Linked DNA regions of Oryzias latipes. The protein of the gene in region 1 interacts with the protein of each later gene in a biochemical or structural test. Links are inferred from orthologs where the notes say so. Each region holds a gene or a part of one and is shown on either strand. Other genes may lie near its edges.

Region 1 (10,058 bases):
AAATGACACATACATTTTGAAAAAAAGTGTTATCAGAATTCATTGAGTAAAAAATAGCAGTGATCCCAGAACAAAACCCTGAGGGACTCCACAAGTCATTGTCATTTTGAGCCCTCATTGCAGAGCCCGATAGACAATGGTTATTTGAACATAGAGCTAAGTCCAGGTAAATTTTCTGTGTAATTGGGGGTAAAATGTAATTAGCAGTCATTTTCTCAACAAATATAGTAGTGGTCCCAGAACAAAACCTTGAGGGACTCCACAAGTAATTGTCACTTTGAACAGTCATTGTAGAGTCATGACTGGTTCAAAATGTTGTCATTCATAATTCTAAATGTCCTTTATGTTATTTTGGGTTTATGTCTTATCAAACATCATAGTGATGTGACCAAACTGTTAAAATATCATGGTGCTTATTGAAATTCACTAGATTAAATTGTGGAATCACAAAAAAAGTCCCATCCGTTTTTGTCATTTTTCTTCCACAGAACAGTAAACTCGTCCAAACTGCGAACAGCACAGGGAAGCGCCTGGCCTCCTCCCAGAATGCTTCCCTCTTCTCAGCGGAAAAGGAAGGCCAAGCCCCCGAGCAGTGGTCCCTTTCCACCGTAAGGTCACGTTTGTAGTCCTGTGCAGTGCCATCGCTTACATTGTGACGTTGCGCGTGCTGCCTTTCGACAGTTCCACACCTACGCTGGCTCCAACGAAGACTTCAAGCTGAAGTGGCAGCAGGCCGAGCGGAGGGCGGAAACCTTGAGTCGGAAGCTGCGTACGATAACCCGAACCGCCATGCTCCTCAAGAAGAGCATCTCCTCTTTGAAGGAGGAGCTAAAGGAGAGCAATCTTCTGAAAGAGCGACTCCAGCAGAAGCTCGACACCGTTGAAGGTAAACTGTGGCGTTGGAGCTCCCCGCGAGTTCGTCTGACGACCTTTAACGCGTCCTGTTTGCGTTCTTTCCCCAGCTTTCCCCTACGACTTGTTCCAGTTGGCTGGTTCGTCTGGTTATACAGAGGAACAGAAGAACTTTGCCCTCACACTCCACATGCAAAGCCCCAAAGCTTATAAATTCCTGAGGACGAAGATTAGCTTACCTTCAACCAGAACTTTGAGAAGGTACGTTTAGATCTACAAGAAGATTAGACATAGGTCTTTGTTTTTGATGGGGTGTTATCAAACCAATGACAGACAATTGGGGAAGAATCAGTCATTGTGTTTGCGAACTTCTAGCTACTAGCAAACACAATAGAATCAACACAAGACACTCTTTAGGTTTCCTGACAAAGTCAAGTGTAGTAGAAGTAGATATTCAAACATACTGCAAACATGTATGGTGACCTAGGAATAAGCCCTGTGGGACACCACAAGACTAAATAGGTGATGTTGAAGTTAGCATAAAAGCTATGCACGTATATTAGCAGCTACAGCAGAAACGAGAGTATTGCGCTTTACTGTCTTTACCGAGATGTTACTCTATTCTTTTTTTTCCCCCCCAGTAAATTCAAGCTTACGACCGATTTATTTCTTTATTTATTTTTTGCGCAGGTGGATCTCGGAGGCAGACGACACCTCCGACATTAACGGGTCGATGCTGAAGCTGGGGGAAGAGATAGAAAGCGACTCGCCCAGCTAGTCCCGCATAAAGATGATTGGAGAACAGGCGAAACATTTCTGTGACGGCGACGATTTGATTGAATACTGGCGCTCGCTCGGCTCTCCATAACCACAAGACTGTCGATGAGGACGCGGTCAAAACCAACTTTTCAGAGGTTTCTTTAAAAAAATCTTTTTTTTTTCAGTTCTGAACTTATGAAGCAAACTTCTGCTGAACGAAATGATCAAATTCACTTTTACAAAAATAAAATGTTTTACCAAAAATTACAATCTAGTCGACGTTTTTGGCAAATAAACATACCGGAAATTAAATCTAACAAAGCTGTTCAACCTCTAACATTATTATATAAATATGCCACTCTTGTCAGAGTTCAGCTGAGATGGATGTGGTCATGTGACCTTTTGCTTTGCATCACATCCATTTAAAGTCTGTTTTGGAGCTCCACTGCCATCTTAGCTAGGAAGGTCAACCAATACGGGCGTTTTTGGAAAAGGAGGCCTGAAAACCATTGGAAGATGGAATCCAATGTTAGATCAATAAAAGAAAGTTTTTATATTTAAATGAAGCCGCAGAGTAGCTTTAGAACTACATTTTAGTTATTTTATGTTGTTAAGCGGCGTTTTACATTGAAGTGAATAGAAGCTAACACAGGGGTCTGGAACCTGAGGCTCCGGAGCCAAAGAAATTATTTTTTTTGTAGTTTTAGTTCTTTATGTTAAGTTTATTAGGTTTTGTGGTGGAATATTATTAGAATATGCTTAAAACACACAGTACAGTTCTGTACCACAACAGTATAGTTGCTGTCCAGAGGTTAAGTACTTAAAGTATATCATTGGATTTATATTTACTTTAGATTTCTTTCTAAAAGGGGAATTTTGACTTAATTTTGTCATGCTTATATTTAATATTAAAAGGAGAATAAGGATGAAGGCGCACTAAAGTTATGATAGAAAATATTAACTTTGACTTTCCTGCATTTTTAATTCAATTAAATCTGGATCTTATTTGGCAAACGGTGTCTTTTATTTTGAAATATTCAAGATTCAAAGGGTTTATTGTCGTATGCACAGTAAGAAACAGGTTTTCCTAAACAATTAAATTCTGACTTTGCTGTCTACTCTGAATGCCAAGGTTAATTTAAATAAAATAAAATAAAGATAGGAGTACGAAATGTACAGGAAACTCAAAATTCACACATAACATAAATAAAAATAAAACTGCAAAAAAATAAATAAAAAGATGTCATGCAAATTCTAAATGTTCAAGAACAGTAATAATAAACAATAATGAACAATGAGGATGTGCAAGGTGTTCCAGACTCCTGTCAGCTGTTAACCCTTGTGCTATCCTAGGCAATTTAACATTGGGAGTTGGGTCATCTAGACCCACTAGACAGTGCTCTGAACCTTTTTTCTTCAATGATTTGTGATTTTCACTGGTGTCCATGGATTACATGAAATCTTTCCACCTTTATCCACCTTTGTCATGGTAGGGAGAACACGTCAATGTAAGGGTGGGGTCATCTAAGATAGCACAAGGGTTATGTAGTCTGATGGCAGAGGAAAAGAAAGAGTTCCTGAGTCTAGTGGCCCTTCACTTCAGTCCTGTACCTCCGTTCCAAGGGGAGAGTGACCAGAAAGGAACTTGTATAAGCTGCTGTTAAGAGTAAAATATAACATTGGTATACTATTGTCTATATCTCAAAGCTACATGTTCTAAATGGATGGCGTAATGGCCACAAAAACGCGAATTAAGTCTTTTTTTGTAAACAATAACGTGGGAGTTTGTGGCTCTAGCTGCAGTTTGGTCCATAAGAAACAAACCCCTGTGCAAATATGTCACAAGCCGCCTAGTGACTTGGCTCCAATCAGTCTTATTTCAGACTGGCCTCAAACAGGAAGTGCAAAAGCTGCAACGTTGGAAATAGTTTGGCCTTCAAAATAAAGTTCCCAACATCTAAAATTTGTGTTGTAATGCTTTAACGATAATAGCTCAAAATATACAATTGTCTGTCACAAACTACCAAACACTTGAATAAATAGGGAGTAAAAACCAAGAGTTCATGTGAAATAAATAGCTTTTATTGTTTTCATCATCGTATTCATAACTGCTGTCATTATCGACCCCGGAGCCGACGCCACGGTCCAGGAATTTGTCCAAAAAAATAGCAACCGTTCAACAGCACCGCTGTGTCTCTCTGGACCCAACCATGCATGAAATCTCCCATTTACAAAACAAAAGCAAAATAAAAATATATATTAAAAAATTATGCGTACCACTGATATACAGATCTGATATAAACAGGCATATTGGTCACAAACCAATTAGAATTATAAACATGGCTTCTTTTACAATACACAGACCAAACATGTGGGATATAAGAGTACTTTTCTTTTAAAAACAACAAAAAAAAAGATACATTTGATTTTTTATTTTTATTTAAATCATTTCCTCTTTTTTGTAATCATAACTTTAAAGTCCTGACGCCTCCCCCCATGATCAGAATGCTCAAGTGACCAATGAGCAAAGTGCAGTAAATGCACATCAACATACACACATACATACGCATACACACACATACATACAAACACACAGGAATGGCAGCAGCGGCTACAGAGAGAACTACAGATGTACCTGCAGGTGACAAATACTGGAGTTAATCCACTGTGGTGAAACCAGGCCACCTGATGGTAAATATGACACATTACATTCAGTAAGAGTTAGCTGGACATTCAAAACACACATACACGCACACACGCCGTCAAAAAAAATAAATCAAAACAGTCTTTAAATGTGCAAAGAAAAGGTGGCTGAACCGAGCTGCATCCGGCAGCTGTGAGGAAGCCGTAAGAAAGCATCAGTGAGTCATCCATAGTGCATTGTGGGAATCGAGGTGGAACAGTGGGCCGCCTCGGAGAATGTTTCCGCTTTGGAAAACCAAAAGATTTTTTTTAAAAAGAAAACTCGTAAGTGCTCTCAGAAGTCCACTTCATCGCGACCTGCAAGAGGCAATCTGTGGATACAACTCGTCATCGACACCTAGTGGACACGGAGGAAACAGCAGCAAGGAGCACGTACCAGAGACTGTACCGGGTTCAAATGATTGTTTATCTGTACCGTTACTTTTAACATCTGCTGATTGCACCTTCAAAGAGAAGAAGAAACATCTAAGAGGTGAAGAAACAGTAGAAAAACTGCAGCGCTGCTTCTGGACTGTTGGGGACGTTTGCAAAAAACAACAGTAAAAAAGGCTGCGATGTGGAGTCATGATGCAAGATCCTGTAAACCTCTTCAAGAGGAAGGCCAGCAGGAGACGAGGAGGGCTGTGGGATGTCCCAAAGCGACCCTGGGCTTCTGCAAACCTTTGAGACGTTCAGCTGCTTCAAGCCCTGATCGTCTTCTCGTGTTGTGTCAGAGCCAACTCTTAAATCCGGGGTCAACGTTGGACCAGGGATAGGTTTTGGTTTCCAGGTTTGTAGAACCGCATAAACCAGGCATAGGTGGACGTGAGGCTGAACTGAAACCGGCTGGTTTGTTTTTGGGCAAAACGGCGTGAAGGCAGATCATCCGGGAGGACAAAAACGACGCTGAGCGACCGAGACCGGCCCTGAAACAGAAAAAGGCACGCGGCGAAGACGGGGAAGGTCAGACGAAGGGTGAGGTGGGGAGCGGCGGGCGTTGGGGTCGTCTTTAGCAGCGGGGTCGACGGCGGCGCTCTCTGGGGGTTTGGCAGGACACTACATTCTGGGTCGGGTCGGCGAGATGTGGGGACAGGGCTTCACCTCCTGCAGGTCCACAACACCGACTTAGAGAAACCGTACAAACGTGAAAAAAAGGGGCGTTTGTCTGCTTCAGAAGGGAGGGGCTCGCCCCCACGTTTCAGAAATTAAGGTGCACGTTGCAGGAAAACCTAAATAAAACCACCGTCTGCAGTCTCGTACAGAGACGGAGGAGCACGCGCTCCCTCGCCTGTCCATAGCAGCCTCAGCATGAATCCGAGGGGGGGCGGAGCCACCTGGGGGCCCGCCCCTTCTGCTTCAATATGTTTGGCAGTTCTGTAAGGACTGAAGGTGCTAATGAACAAAGATATGCCTAAGTAGCTCATCAGCAGACGGGCGCTGTTTGGTCTCTACAAAGATCCGCCTCAGGAACTCGCGGCAGTGGTCCGACACGTGCACGGGCAGCTCCGGGTTTGTGGGCTGCGTGGCGATTTTGAAGATGGCCGCCATGGCTTCGAACTCCGCCCACGGAGGCCGCTGAGTTAGCATCTCCACCACGGTACAGCCGACACTCCTAAAAGCAAAGCGCAGATTTGTTGGGGGATGGGCGCCTACAGCCGGTGCCGGACGCCGCTTTCTGAGCGCGCCCTTACCATATGTCGGCCTTCCTGCCGTAGCCTTCTCCGCTGATCACCTCCGGGCTCATCCAGTAGGGGGTGCCGGTCACTGACTTGATGCCTGTCCCGGACAGGCAGATGGTCTGCAGCCGCCTGCTGGCGCCAAAGTCTCCCAGCTTCACGTTACCCACGGAATCCCGCAAGATGTTGGCCCCTGGAGCCAGAGGACACCCGCTAAAGTTCTGCCGCGCCCCGCCAGCAACCCCCCCTCCCCCTTCTCACCTTTGATGTCCCGATGCACGATCATGTTGCTGTGCAGGTACGACACACCCTCCAAGATTTGCCGGGTGTATCGGCGCGTTACGTTTTCCGTCAGAGCTCCGTACGACTTCAGCTGGTCTTTGATGGAACCCTGAGACAGGAAGTTGACGGTCAGGGTGGACAAGGACTTCAAATCGATATTTGGGGGAGGGGTTGGCAGATGCTTACTCCAGGCATGTGCTCCATGAAGATGGAGAGCGTCCGCTCCATGGTGTCCCGCAGGCAGCCGTAGTACTGGACGATCCGCTCGTGGCACAGGTTCTTCAGGAGCTGGATCTCGCACTCCAACGCGCTCACCTCCTGAACGAGCCAATCAAAAGCTTGAAATTGCGACGCATACTACCCCTCGCTCCTCCACTAAAAAAAAACAACAACAACCATGCACCTTGCTGGTCTCCGGACTCTCCGGGTCAAACTGGACTTGTTTGACCGCCAACTCCCGCCCAGTGTCTGCGTCGTAGCACAGGTACACCCGCCCAAACGCCCCCTGACCTAGCAGCTTCCCCAGACGCCAGTTGGTGGGAGCACGCGGAGCTGCAAGCACACGGCAGGTTAACCACTGAGCTACAGGTGGGCGGGGCGCGCTCGGTCCACTTACAGCGACTGGGCGGGCTGATGTCCATGACGGAGAGGGTGGGGCCGGCTGAGGGGTTGGCGTTCGACTCGATGTCGCTGCCTCTCCGCCTCCTGGCAGGGCCGGGGGCCTCCTCCAGGTCGGGGGTGAAGACGCTGCTGCCGCTGCTGGTGCTGGGGGACTGCTCTGTGGGACTGAAGCTAACGGGCGAGCGAAAGTTGTGGACCTGCGTCCGCCGAGCTCGCGGAAAGGTCTTCCGCCCTGAAAGCCAAACAAGATACTCTGAATTATTCGTTTCGGTCTCCTCTCTGTTACGAACAGGAGCGAAGGAAAAACACCCCACCATCGCTGTAATCCTGAAGGCCGTAAGGAATGCCGTATCTCCGTGGATACGTCCCTCCTTTCCCGGACTTCTCAAACACGGGAAGGTCGGACTCTGCGGGGGAAAACAGCGGCACAGTTATCACAGAGGTGGAGCCAAGACTAAAGCAAAACAAAACCTTTCTTAATCTTTGAGATCAAAAGCTGTTTCAGGGTTTACCTGGGAAGTCCTGGTGGTTGTCCGGGTAACTCTGAGCTCGAGGCATCCTGGACTTTGGGTATTCCCTGCAACACACCGAAAGGAAAAGTTACTGTGTGTCGGTTTTAAGGCTTCACACCAGGCCTTGAGCTGGAATGTGGAGCCACTCACCCGTCCAGCGGGCTGTCTAAAGACGGACAGCTTCCTGACGCGGAATTCTCCGGACTGCTCATGGATAAGGGATCGAACATCTGAAGGCAAAATAATGAAGAGCTTAAAAAAGTTGGACATATTTGTTTGAAGTTTTCAGACTTCAAACGACCATCTGGTGAACTCTGAACTTGTAGACGTTCTATGAATATTTATTTTGGGGTAATGCGTGCACCTGGCAGCCGTTCTGATGCCTCACAGAAAAAACAAAAACAAAACATCACTTTGAGTTAACTCCAACAGCTAAAACCATAATTTTACTCCCAAAACCTCACAAATTAGGAGCATAGCATCCAAACTGGATTCCAAAATGTTTCCGCACTACGTTGTTGTGCATTTTTCTTTTTGTTGGAAATGTGAAATAATATTAGAACCAAGTTTAAGGCAGAGTCCATACCGGATCCATACTCTCAGGAATGAACTCCCCCTCGCTGTTGATGCTGGTGAAGGAGCCGTTTCGTGCCACCTGTGGGAGAGGATCGGGAATGTATCCTGGGGGAGGGGAGCTTCGGTCGGTCGAGAGGGACCCTGCGGTTGGAAGAGAAACTCAGGTGAGCGGCGATTGGTTGTGTCGCTTTGCACGTCCATTTTTCCATGGAGCGGTTCTCCTCGCTGTGACTTGTTGACGTTTCTCAGACTCAACTGGGGCTTCACCTCAGTCAGGAGTTCCCCAGGGATCTATCTTAAGACTCATTTAATTATTCTACTGTAATAGGTGCAAAAGATGGACCAACATCATATTGAACTCTATGGGTTAGTAATGGGATGGAACCGTGCTGCATCCGACAGTCACAGACTTTTCATCCATCCATCTCTAATCTACATTCACTTTTCTTGGAGGTCATAAGCTGGCCGCCTTTAGCTGATAAAGGAGACAAAAGGAAATCACCTGACTGACCAATCAGAGACAGCATGCTCTTTTTGTCCGCAACCCCAAAGCCCCTGTTATCCAGCTCCTCGTGGGATGGAAGGAGGTCCATGTTGGAGGCGGGGGAGTTCTGGAAAGAAAACAAAAACAGATAAGCCAGACAAACAAAGACCCCCTGCAAACTGGGTGGTCCGACTGGCTTAAAGCTAATGTTTGGAAGCATTTGGGCTTTCTCAATGTTGATGTTCTTATTGGCTTTAAACAACAATCATGCCAAAATTACCAAAATGGATTATTTAGAAACACAATAAACATTTGAAATCATATCACGAAGGGCTGGGTTGGTTGATCAATTAATCCATAAAAGTTGAAATCGCATGACAGCAGCAAAGCCAAAATTTGCTAGCTTGATGCTAACGTATAATGGAATTCCCCATAGGACGGCTAATGCTAACGCTCGGTCGACCTTAAACATATATTGCTGACTAAATGAACAGCTTTATATACTCACAGGTAGGAATTTTCCTGACTATTTTAAGGAAACATTTTCTTTTTAAATTAACCGTTTGTTGCTGAAATCTTCAAACTCAACCCAATCATCGCTCACTTCCATCGGGAGGGGGACAGAAACCGTCCAGGCGCTCTCAGCACGAATGCTGCTTCGACAAGTTCCGTACCTGCGAGTGCTTCCAACAGTCAAAAAACTATTTAGGTTATCATGAGGGGATTATGGCATCAGTCTGAGCTTTGATAGCGAAGGACATGAGGATGTGGTGGATATTAAGGCACACATTTACAGTTAATGAGTCATTATTGTTCTGGGAACTTTTTCATTAAGTGTGAGAATCTTATCATACATCAAAATGTCTCTTTCATTGTACGTCATCTAGGTTTTTTTTTCAAAATAGTTGCTCCCTTGCTAGAAGGAGCAAACAGACCTGCGAGGACATCTGGACTACTAGGAGGATCTTCAGGCTCTTCATGTGGACGCTGCGATCCAGCAGCTCCACGGCCTTGTCCAGGTCATCCTGGGTCACCAGCGGGATCAGTAACTGTGGGAGGGAAGAGCAAAGACGGCGTGGGTGTGGCGCTGCGATTGCTCCGGGCCACCTCTGCGCTTCGGCCTCCGGATCTGTACCTCGTTGTTAGAGTAATGGAGGCCCATCGCCTGACCGAAGGCCACTTTTGCCTTCGCCTTCAGGTCGTCCAGCTTGACGGGTCGAGGAAACTGCAGGATCCTGCGGAGGAGACGAGAGGTCAGGAGGTGGCTGTGCCGTTCGGACCATGTTTGGACCAAAAAGGAAGGGTCTCACCTCTTCTCCCCTCTGAATTCAAACTTCACCCTCACATCGTTCTGAGGAGAATGGAATGAAACTCAGCAACTCCTAACTTCAGTAAAAGTTCAGAAAAAAACCACCTCAGAGGGGTCCGGCGCTCACCTGGTTCTTGGGTGAAGAAGTTTTGGGTTTTCCCAACTCCGACAGGAATGTGGCGGGGCGGCTGGAGCGGTGCAGTTCGGCCAAGTCCTGCATGATCGAGTTCAGGGCCTCCTGCTCATCTGTGGGACGACAGAACCTCCAATTACCATCAAAGATGGTGGGGGGAACAGTGGAACAA
Region 2 (10,094 bases), on another chromosome or scaffold:
GACGAAGAAGATGCACTCACTGACGGACATTCTAAAATATCCCCGAAAACGCTCATGATACATTTTCAGCTCATGTACCAGTCGATAAAACTCCCCATGTTCTTCTCTTCTCGTAACTATGGGATGTACATCTGCGTCTTTTCCGGCGTCTTTCATCATTCAACAGAACAATAATTTCTTCATCGCTGGAACTGGAGCTGCTGGTGCTTGAAATATTCATGTTTTCTTTGTATGATTCTGACAAACGCGTAAACTTGCTCTCTTCTTCTGAGTGAAAAGCGACTTTAAGGAGGGTAAAGTTGCGCAGCGCCACCTTGTGTACAGGGGTATTTCTGTTTTACGTTAAGCGCCATCTAATGTCAGGGAATGAATTTGCATGTTCACTCGGCTCATCGTTAGGCGAAAATCGCTTGGGTGTGAACACAAAAAACGTGGCGAAAAACGCTGGCGAATAACGTGCGCCGATATTCGTCCCGGTGTGTACGGCCCTTTAGAGGCCAACCCAAATATTAAAAAGTCATAGTCTGGAGTGATGGCTGCGGCTATCAGAATCGGTGTTGCACCATTGCAAATGCGTACCTTGATCTGGCCATGAAGCATGATGTCACAATTGTACAAAAATTTCTGGTTGCAGGGCACACACAAATGAAGTGTGACTCCATGCATAGCTGCATTGAACGCCGTATCAGGAAAGACATTTACACTCTGCGTGATTACATCATCATTTTTGAAACTGCACGTTTGAACCCATCCCCGTACAAGGTCACCCAGTTGTACCACAACAACTTCATGAAGTTATCTGGGGCCTACGTCAAAACCATCCGGCCAGGTGGAAAACCAGGTGATCCCACAGTCCATGACCTTCAGGCTTTCCAGTACTTGGCAGATGGATTCGCTATAAGTTAGCGTTTGAGTCAGACTGGGAGGGCCTGCTTCAGCGAGTGACCATCCCCAGAGAATCATTCCCCTGGGTCCCACTCTTTCCTACCCAATTGCCACTCACTCTGAGGAAATTCCAGTCAATGAAACTGGTACTACCAAGAGTGGTCCATGACTACTATAACAACCTGCCTCACCAAGGCAAATGAAACAATCTGGGTTAGGCAAGTGAAACATCGTTTCACGTTAGTTAATGTTAGGTCTTAACATTGGTTAAGGAAATAGTTAAATAACCAGGTTATGTTAAGGCAAGAAACAAGTTTGATGGTTTTTACTTTATTATAAAAACTGCCTAAGTCAAATTGAGTTCCCTGCAAAATTTGCACAAGTCAGTTTTCTATGTTATGCAATAGCTATTGTCTGTTTTTTTATTTCAAACGGGTTCACACATCTGGTGGGAGTCACCATTAACATATAAATAAAAAGTTCTTACAATTTGGTGAAAAAAAGGTGTTTTTTCTTCTTTTCCAAAAACCTGAAAAAATGAGTTAGGCAGATTTGCTATTAGGCTGACGATATAAAGAATTGTTTTTTTGTATTACAAATTTATTTTTTTGTTTCATTTTGTTTTATTTTGAAAGGTTTGTTTGTTTTTTACCCACTTTGTGATTCTTGGCATGCCATATAACATGTAAGTGCCCCTGCATGGGGTTTAACGGGTTTTCAGAAAAATTAGACAATGTTCTCTGCTGACAAAACAAGATGTTTTTAGATCTCTGAGGTAATTTAATAAACAACTACCGGTACATACTTACTCATTTGTCTTTTTTTTTTTACTCTTTCATTCTAAAGGTGACGTGTAATTGTTTCACCATCAGTGATGGGGAGCTACAGGAGATAGGAGTGGGGCTGTATCCAAGGTAACACACGCATGTTCACATTCATGCATGCACGAAAAAAACACTTAGAGGCACACATGTCTGAATACATTTTTTAAGGGGCTCATTGCTTCTGTCACTAATTTAAACATTAAAAAAGCAGCTTGGAGATACAGTACCATGGCTTTGACAGCACACTTTCAAAGCTGGCCCTGCTCTCCACGCTTTCTCCTCTCAGCTCTTTGAAGTATGACAGAAGAAGGGAAGAGAGACGAGGTGAAATGTTCTCGTAAGGCGAAAACTTGGTAATGAATGTTGCCGGAATATGAAAATGCTGCTTGGCGTAGACAGAAGCGAGAGAGCTCTGAGAAATCTCACTCCTGGAGATTCAGGATGGATATCATGAAATGTTGTCTTTTTCCACAAACTGGATAAGTAAGTTGTGTCCTGTGTGAAAGGGCGTGGATTTGGCTTTTTGTCCAACACACTGTCTGTCCTGTCACACATAGAGACACAGATATCTTAACACATACACAAACACATGCAGGTATCCCAGCCAGTTTATCTGGCGAGTATGGAGATGTCAGATGGTCACAGCAGTATTACCAAAGCTCAGCCAAACCATGCATTTGGGCTGCAATTCACCCATAAATGAAAGGCTCACTCGCAGGATGGTCCCCTGCCTATTCTTATTTTGGGTTGCCTAGCAACCATGGGTTTTTTGAATAGAGGGGGATATTTGGTTGAGGCTAAACCTCAGCTCAGTTTATGAAATGCAGTTTTTTACCTTTTAGTTAACACTCCTTTTTTTTCTTTTACTTTTGTCATCCCCTCCTCTGATATCCACTCTCTGCATGTCATTCTCCACCTCAGCTAAATGGCCTAAATGATATGGATTTGTGGATAACTGATTGGCTCAGATGTTAACAGACATTTATTCACTTTTTGTTATCATTTTTAATCTTAATTTAGCCTCACAGTAACAGAAAGTCATGAAGCTGCATCCACATCTTCACCACCTTTATAGTAATGTACTAATATACTAAAACATTTTTTTAAAGATCCACTCTGATGAAAATCGTGTTCTTGGTGTTTTTAACATGTTCTTGTGGCATTTTTCTGATGATGGAGGACATATATAAAGACAATTTCTAATTTATTTCTTTATTCAAATTGTTGTGAATCAGGAGCGAACAGAAAAAAATTCAGTTTGAAAATGCTTGTAGCTGATGTAGGTGCTGCAGTTGGCAGGTCACGAGCTCCATTCTGATGGACACACTTGCAGACACATAGATTCATGTAATCTCAATTTTCCTTATCTACAGCTCAAAACTGTACAGCCGGATTGCTCCGACATTGCTCGCCATATTTGTTGCACCGCTAATGTTGTGTTGGGGTAAGGAGGGGCTGTAAGCTAGCAGGAGAGTGTGTAACAAGTGGATGGTGGGAAATAAGCGCAGGCTTACTTCTGCCCCCAACTCAGAGTTACAGTTCTAATGAACTACTGACGCTCCGCAGGAACTATGTCCTAGAAAACAACACGTTTTCTTTTTTATTTTGGCTAAAAAAAGGCACAATCATAGTTACAAGACCACTAGGAACGCTTTTAAAATAGATCAAAAGATGATTGCAGTGGGACTTCAAGGAGAAATCAGGAACATGTTCTGTATTAGAAAGCAGGGGTGATTAGTCGTGCAGCTCCTGCACTTTAAGGATTCTTGTTCAACTCGAAAAACTGAGTTTAGAATCAAAGAGGTTAGATATTGAATATTTTTATATTTAGTAAATTTCAATTTTGTCCTAATGGCATCTTTTCATCCTGCTGCAGCAGGAGCAGCACATTTTTCTTACATTTGCCTTCAATGTGAGATGATGTTTGCTTAATTATTCTAATTAGTATGCTAACGAGCAGCTCTCTATCTGATAAAAGCTTCTTTTGGAGGACTTGATGTCTAGTTTTTATTCAACCAGCAACTCCTCCACTGTTCGTGCAAAGCCGAAAGAGGGTAGCTGGTGGTTTCATGCACACTGAACACACATACTTTATCTCATTCAATCACTATTATGCTGAATACTGTCATTGTTAGCTGCGGTAATGGAGAGAGCTGTACAAACACACAAGAACCTCTTCAGGTTTTACCGCTCATGTGTGCAGAGATGTTCTATGACTTTATGTGAGGGGGAGGTCTTTACTTGCAGTTACATTGTCAACATGGGAGTCATGGTGAACAGAATTACCATAAAGTAAATTCAGGATTTTCAACAGTGACAGTGCTCTGCTTTGTTTGTTGGGTTTGTTCCATGTCTATGTTAGATTACCACTTAGTTTAGTTAAACTAGGGGTCTGAAACATGAGGCACCGGAGTCGCATGTGGCTCTTTTGCTCCGCCATTGTGGTTCTATGGTTAAAGAAAAATAAAGGTTTTTTTTAAGTAACTGTGAAGTAAATAAGTAGGTAAGTAATAAAGTGTAAAACTGTGCCTTATGGTTCAAAAGATACAGTGAGTAGTAAGTAAATTTGATAGAAATCTATTTCCCTTTATTAATAGTACATTTGCTCAAGTTTTGCTACTGTCAACCTGCTCCATATAAATTTAATTACACCCATGTAAAAAAAAGTTTGAATATCGTAGAAAAAATAAAAGCTATCTAGATACATTTGCTTTTTTCTTTCTATCTCCTTTTTTCTCTCTTTTTGTACTTCATTTTTGTCATCCCATTCTCTGCTTCTCATTCTTTTGACTTTAGTTTATCTCTGTTGAACCACGACTGCCGGCCCAACTGCGTGATGGTCTTTAATGGGACAGAACTGCAGCTCAGAGCTGTGCAGGATATTAACCCAGGAGAGGAGGTATGGTGAAAAAAAAGTACTGCATTTTTACAGCAGTAACAACACAAATCACATCAATGGAAGCCGTTCTCATTTATTGTTTATTCGTTATTAATGGCTTTTGTCATAACTTACTTGCAAAATCTGAAAGTAACAAGCGCGGCTGCTGTCAAATAAATTTCACTGCTCAATTAATTACCACTTTTTGATGGATTCATAGTAAAATTGCTGTTTTATTAAAAACCTGCAGCCTAGTGAAATATCACAAGCAGCACATGCAAGTTGAAATCTCCTGACTTAGAGGTGGTTTTTTTTCTCTTTCTCGTGACTCTATGTAATGAGATGCATCAACGCCATCTGTACGGAGACACACCAGCACTCCCACACACGCCTAACGCAGCATAATTTCTTTCACACTCACTTAACCATAGTTCTGCTGCAAATATTTGCTCCTGCTAAAGTTGTTGTACTGCGCTGTAAGAAATGTGAATAAATGCATTCATGCCAACACTGATCTAATGATCTCTTTGTGTCCAGCTAAGGATAAGTTATATTGAGACATTGTCTTTGACTGAAGATCGGCAGAAGCAGCTGGAGGAGCAGTATCATTTCACCTGCCACTGCCAACGCTGCAGCTCAAAGGAACAGGTCAGAAGTAGTTATAGCAAGTTATCGTAAAAAAGAAAATGACAAAAACTGTACTAATACAGCTTTATGACTGAAATTTAAAAAAGTTTGTTTAATTCAGAAATAATTGTTTAAAACCAAAAGTATTGACATATTCTTTTTCTTTCACTGTGAAAAAACGTTTTTATTACTTCTCGATGCTTATTTAGTTGCTGAACCATGACAACCTCATTATCACTGCATTAATAATGTTTATATCCTTTTTATTAATTTTCATCCTCCTTGTTTTTCTGTTCCCAAATAACAAAAAGAATTGAACCGAAGCTGATACAGATTTACTTGATTCTTGCAGTCTTTATAAATTATTCTTGACAGCTGAGCAGAGTCGAGCTCTCTTCTTTTTCTTGTTGTCGCACACTTTTCAGGCGCACAAACTTGCCCCTACTTGTGTTGTGCTGTGCAGACAGCGTGTCGGTGCATAACGCGTCTCCGTGTTCCCTCTCCTGTCCTCCTCTTTCCCTCTCTTGCTCCTCTCCTCTCTGTCACTCTGTCACGCTCCACCTCTTCACATCCTCCTTCTGTTGGTCTGACCACCTACTGAAAAATGAGAAAAATTATCTCGTCTTTCAGCTGCAGTTTTCTTTTCCATCCATCTCAACCAGCTCGTCCCTCCTGCTCCCGTCTGTGCTCCAGCTTCAATGTTTTCTGTCCTCTCATCTTTTTGTCTTTGCCATCACCTCGACTTCTGGCTTTGATCTCTCTATTCTAAAGTGTAGACGACACTACTCTACAACACAGCAACTCCCCTAAAACACTGCACTGGTTGAGGGCTTTGTGTGAGTGCGAGATAAGCCAAGAGTGAGCTCTCAGGTGGTCCTCTGGAAACAAAGGCATCAATTTATTTAACCAACCTTTAATCCGCAAACACAGAAACGCACTTTGTGATACGCTTCTTTGTCTCTTTAATCTTTTTTTCAATTGATACGGATGATGTCAGGCCGCAGGACTGTGGCATAAAGTTGTCATGGCAACAGTTGACTTTTTTTTCTGTTTCACCTCTTTGTGCAGGATGGAGTCATGCTGTCAGGGAGGGAAGCAGCCTGGCGCCAGCTAAAGGAAGCCCTACCAAGGCTGGAAGGACTGCAGTTAGAGTCCAGCATCCTTTATCGCTCTTAAAGACTATAAAAAATAATTTTATCTTTGCATTTTGTTGGTGATCTTGAAAGTTTTAAATTTAGATTTAGATGTTGAAATAATTTGAAGCATTTAATCAGTAATTTTACTGACCTGAATTTGAATTTTTGGCTTAATTTTCTTAAACAAATTGTTAAAACAAAATTTAGGACTTTAGAGCATCCGCCTTCTTTATGAACACTCATTGATGTCAAATTCCTTAATTACTTCCTTAGATTGGCTGGAACTTTTAGAGAGTTGCAGCAATCTGCTTACATCTGCTGGTGAGGAAGTTCCCGATGAAAATCTCTATAAGCTCAAGATTACTGATATGGCTTTGGATGCTTCTGTTCATCTGGGGCGATGGGAGGAGGCGTTGTCATTTGGGCTCAAGACCCTTCCATCTTACAGGTTAGGCTCTCTTTGTTTGTATGTTCCTCAGAAAAGCAATTAATACTTTTATCTAACTTTTATCTTGCTCACTTCACTTCAAATATTTAGATACCAAGGTTTAATAAATATGAACTGCAGTAAAGTGAAGCAGCTTTAGTTAAGATTGGCAGTAGATTTATGATGGTTGTTTTGCTTTTTGAGCTAACTATCATGCTATGATGTCAAATATGTACCTCAAACATGGTTTATAGGAGGAAAACCCCAATGTTCCAAGTTGTTTACCCTCGAAAACCCCTAAAACCTACTGTATTTTAATTTTAGTGCAGTTCTTCTGATCTCAGCCTGGGCAGTAGAGCAGCACACATCCCCTGTCTTAACATTCACATTGTGAAATTTGTAATTGTGTCTGCTGTGCTGTGTGGTAACAGAACCTTCTTAAAATAATCAAAATGCATTAAAATTGAGTTTGTTGCTGTGAAGCACACGGTTCTTGAACAGCATTTAGATTTATCTCAATGCTTTTCTATGTATACATAAAATTGGAGATGAACATAATTAACACTGTAATGATGCCTAACAAGAGCTGGAATGAAATAGTTTTCCCTAAATTTGAAAAAACTACAACATAGCTAAGGTAATATTTTTTTTTTAGGTTTTTGCATGTGACGGAGATGGTGGCCGGCACTTAAGAAAAATAGATCAATTAAAAAATAGGCAACATGAGGTGAGGGATTTTCTTCTGGTTGCATTAGTTAGTTTTACCCAATCGTACCAACCCAGTCCTAAAATAGGCGAAACATCATCTGAAACAATAAATATAAGCTTTTGTTAGCTAATGCAAAGTACATGCTAGTGCAAATGCATATGATTACGTCAAATAGCCGTTAAACAGCATGAAGTGCTGCATCCTCTGCAGACATTCTTCCAGGACATCAGCTCACACTACAGATTACCTTCAGCATCCATGCTGGTCCAAACCCTGGAATGTTTTCCTGGCAGAGATCATAAATTACAACGGCAGCTCATAATAGAGCTATAGGTGGATGATGCCAGTGCTCAACACATCATGTATAATTGATGATGGTTTTATTTTGTCTGGGCTCCTCACTCCTCTACCATGTTGGAAAGTCTTTGTTAATAAAAAAGGGGTGGGATACGCAAACGTGTGTCTAAAAGTAGTGTATTTTAAAAATGCATGTAGAAAATAAACTCAAATTTATGAAAGATGTTTGTAGAAAATAAACAAAATAATCTAATGAGAAACCCATGTCTATAATATCTTACTGACTTAAGGCTTTAAGGGAATTCAAATAAACCCAGCACTTTTAAAGGTTGTGTCTCAGATTATGATAAATTACATCAGTTGTATCTTGTTTGCTCTGTCCAACCCCCACACACACCTCTGCTCAGTTTTTACTGCAGTACGGCTCCCTCAGCCTCAACATTATACAGCTGCTGCATGGTTTTTGTGTAAGTGTGCGCGTGAAACTAATTGATCTTGTGTAAAGGGCAAAGCTCCAGTGGCACAGCCGTACTCTCACACACACCAGCACTAACATAACCACCGGAGGGAAACGACAACACAACTTATAAATAAATAACTAGTGTTGGAGCAGCAGAAAGAACCAGAGGAATGGTGATGAGAAGGAGGGGGGATCTCTGAAAATCTCTTGTCAAGGAAGAACAGACCAAAGTGAGCGGAGGCATACTGAGAGGGTCTGCTTCTTTGAACTTAATGTCATCACTGCTGCTGGTTTTTTCTGAGCCTCACTTGCTCTTTTTAAAGAGATTAGATTAAAGTGAAGACTAAGCATCAATCTTTTAGCTGATTCTTATACAGTGAATATTCCGCTTGTAACCTTGCTGTCTTCTTCCATCTTCCTCTGAAGTATGGATTATCCTGAATAGTTTAATAACACTTTGATCTATTTTCTGAGGGGATGGCCGGTTAAACTACGGAACTGTTGGGTGTGTAAAAAAACATCATCTAGAAAGATTAAGGACTATATGCAAATCATCAAGAATCAGTAAACGAGTCAATTTTTGTAAATACTTCATCTGCTTTTATTGCATTATTTTACTACACTTTTTTTCTAGACTTTGTAATCAATGATTTTGAAAAAATATATATTTTTCAAATTCCATTAGTTTCATGTTGTTATTGGCAGCAATAACAACACACCATTGAGGTTTCTTTCTGGTCTGCCCTTTTAAGTTTCTTGAATGTTCACTTTTCTTTTCAATCAAATCCAAAAGAAAAGTAATTTCAAACTTGGAAATTTCCTTTTTACTGGAATAAAAACATCTTCAACATTTATTTGACAGAACCAGAAAATGCAAGGAACAGTCATGCCAGAGAAACGGTTCAATGAAAGGAAATAATGAATCTGAAAGAGTGTAAACTTTCTGAAGAGAAAAGTCGAAGGAGGATCCTCAATATTCATCTCCTATCTTCCTCTGGGCTCCTCAGCAGGCAAGACGGATAGCTGCAGGAGTTCCCGATATCTCTCCCACTCCTGTCCTTTCCCTCATTCTGTATTCCTTTCTTCTCTCACTCTCTTTTTTTGGCTTTCATTTGAGATCTATAAAGAGGTTATTCCCCACACATAATGCATGTGTGCTGCAGGCTGCACAGGCCTGGCTCATTGAACACCTCCATGCTCCACGTTAATCAGATACGCACAAGAATCCCTGAAAATGTGAACCCATGCTCCTTCTTACCTGTAAAGGTAAAAACACATTAATAAGCAATCGACACTTGTATAAACATGACAAAGTTATGCTTAAAATATGTTTCTGCAACAGTAAAACAGAATCATACTACTCAGTTTCTCCTAATAAATAAGCAATGATTTATCACTGTTGACATGCTATTGTGAATTAACGATAAACGTTTTTATAAAGGCTATGCAGCTTTGAGAATCTCAGTACATTGTGTAACTATATAATGAAAAGGTATAGCCTACTTTGTAGAGTTTTATTGTACCAGCGCATCATGTATAAAAATTTATATTTAATGAAGCAGTGAAGGTCTAGTAGAAGTTGGAGTCATGATGTTTAACACATTATGATTAAAAAAAAACTTTTTTTTCGATTAAAAAAACCTGTAATAAATATTCTATTTTTTTACTGTCAAGACGCAGGCTCTGTAGTAATAAAAGTTATTATTAGTTTTAAAAATAAAAATGTATTCATATGATTCATATCAAAATATGCTGACCAAAACTAGTCTTTTTGACTTTGGGACAACAACCTTTTGCATTTGATTACATAACTTTTTCCTCGGTAAATTGCAACAGATCATGTAGAATAAG

Evidence for each region. The genes of interacting proteins can lie anywhere in the genome.
Region 2: the proteins of map3k2 (region 1) and smyd3 are reported together in a solved structure, tested with the Homo sapiens proteins (2 studies listed by BioGRID and IntAct, with this or other methods). The link is inferred for Oryzias latipes from reciprocal best matches to the Homo sapiens genes MAP3K2 and SMYD3.

What each region holds. Positions count from the first base shown.
Region 1 is NC_019860.2:9,906,959-9,917,016, reverse strand, and holds the end of map3k2 (mitogen-activated protein kinase kinase kinase 2), read right to left. Parts: intron 10,000-10,058; coding exon 9,881-9,999; intron 9,796-9,880; coding exon 9,755-9,795; intron 9,680-9,754; coding exon 9,580-9,679; intron 9,494-9,579; coding exon 9,380-9,493; intron 8,572-9,379; coding exon 8,463-8,571; intron 8,102-8,462; coding exon 7,971-8,101; intron 7,615-7,970; coding exon 7,535-7,614; intron 7,450-7,534; coding exon 7,385-7,449; intron 7,280-7,384; coding exon 7,187-7,279; intron 7,105-7,186; coding exon 6,868-7,104; intron 6,804-6,867; coding exon 6,655-6,803; intron 6,570-6,654; coding exon 6,438-6,569; intron 6,361-6,437; coding exon 6,231-6,360; intron 6,163-6,230; coding exon 5,985-6,162; intron 5,906-5,984; coding exon 5,686-5,905; 3' UTR 3,672-5,685; downstream 1-3,671. Other genes in the region: THAP domain-containing protein 1 A, read left to right, coding at 489-608, 682-886, 963-1,113, 1,543-1,630. UniProt on the Homo sapiens protein: Component of a protein kinase signal transduction cascade. Regulates the JNK and ERK5 pathways by phosphorylating and activating MAP2K5 and MAP2K7. Plays a role in caveolae kiss-and-run dynamics.
Region 2 is NC_019861.2:24,809,916-24,820,009, forward strand, and holds part of smyd3 (histone-lysine N-methyltransferase SMYD3), read left to right. Parts: intron 1-1,731; coding exon 1,732-1,799; intron 1,800-4,505; coding exon 4,506-4,608; intron 4,609-5,124; coding exon 5,125-5,235; intron 5,236-6,282; coding exon 6,283-6,370; intron 6,371-6,623; coding exon 6,624-6,798; intron 6,799-10,094. UniProt on the Homo sapiens protein: Histone methyltransferase. Specifically methylates 'Lys-4' of histone H3, inducing di- and tri-methylation, but not monomethylation. Also methylates 'Lys-5' of histone H4.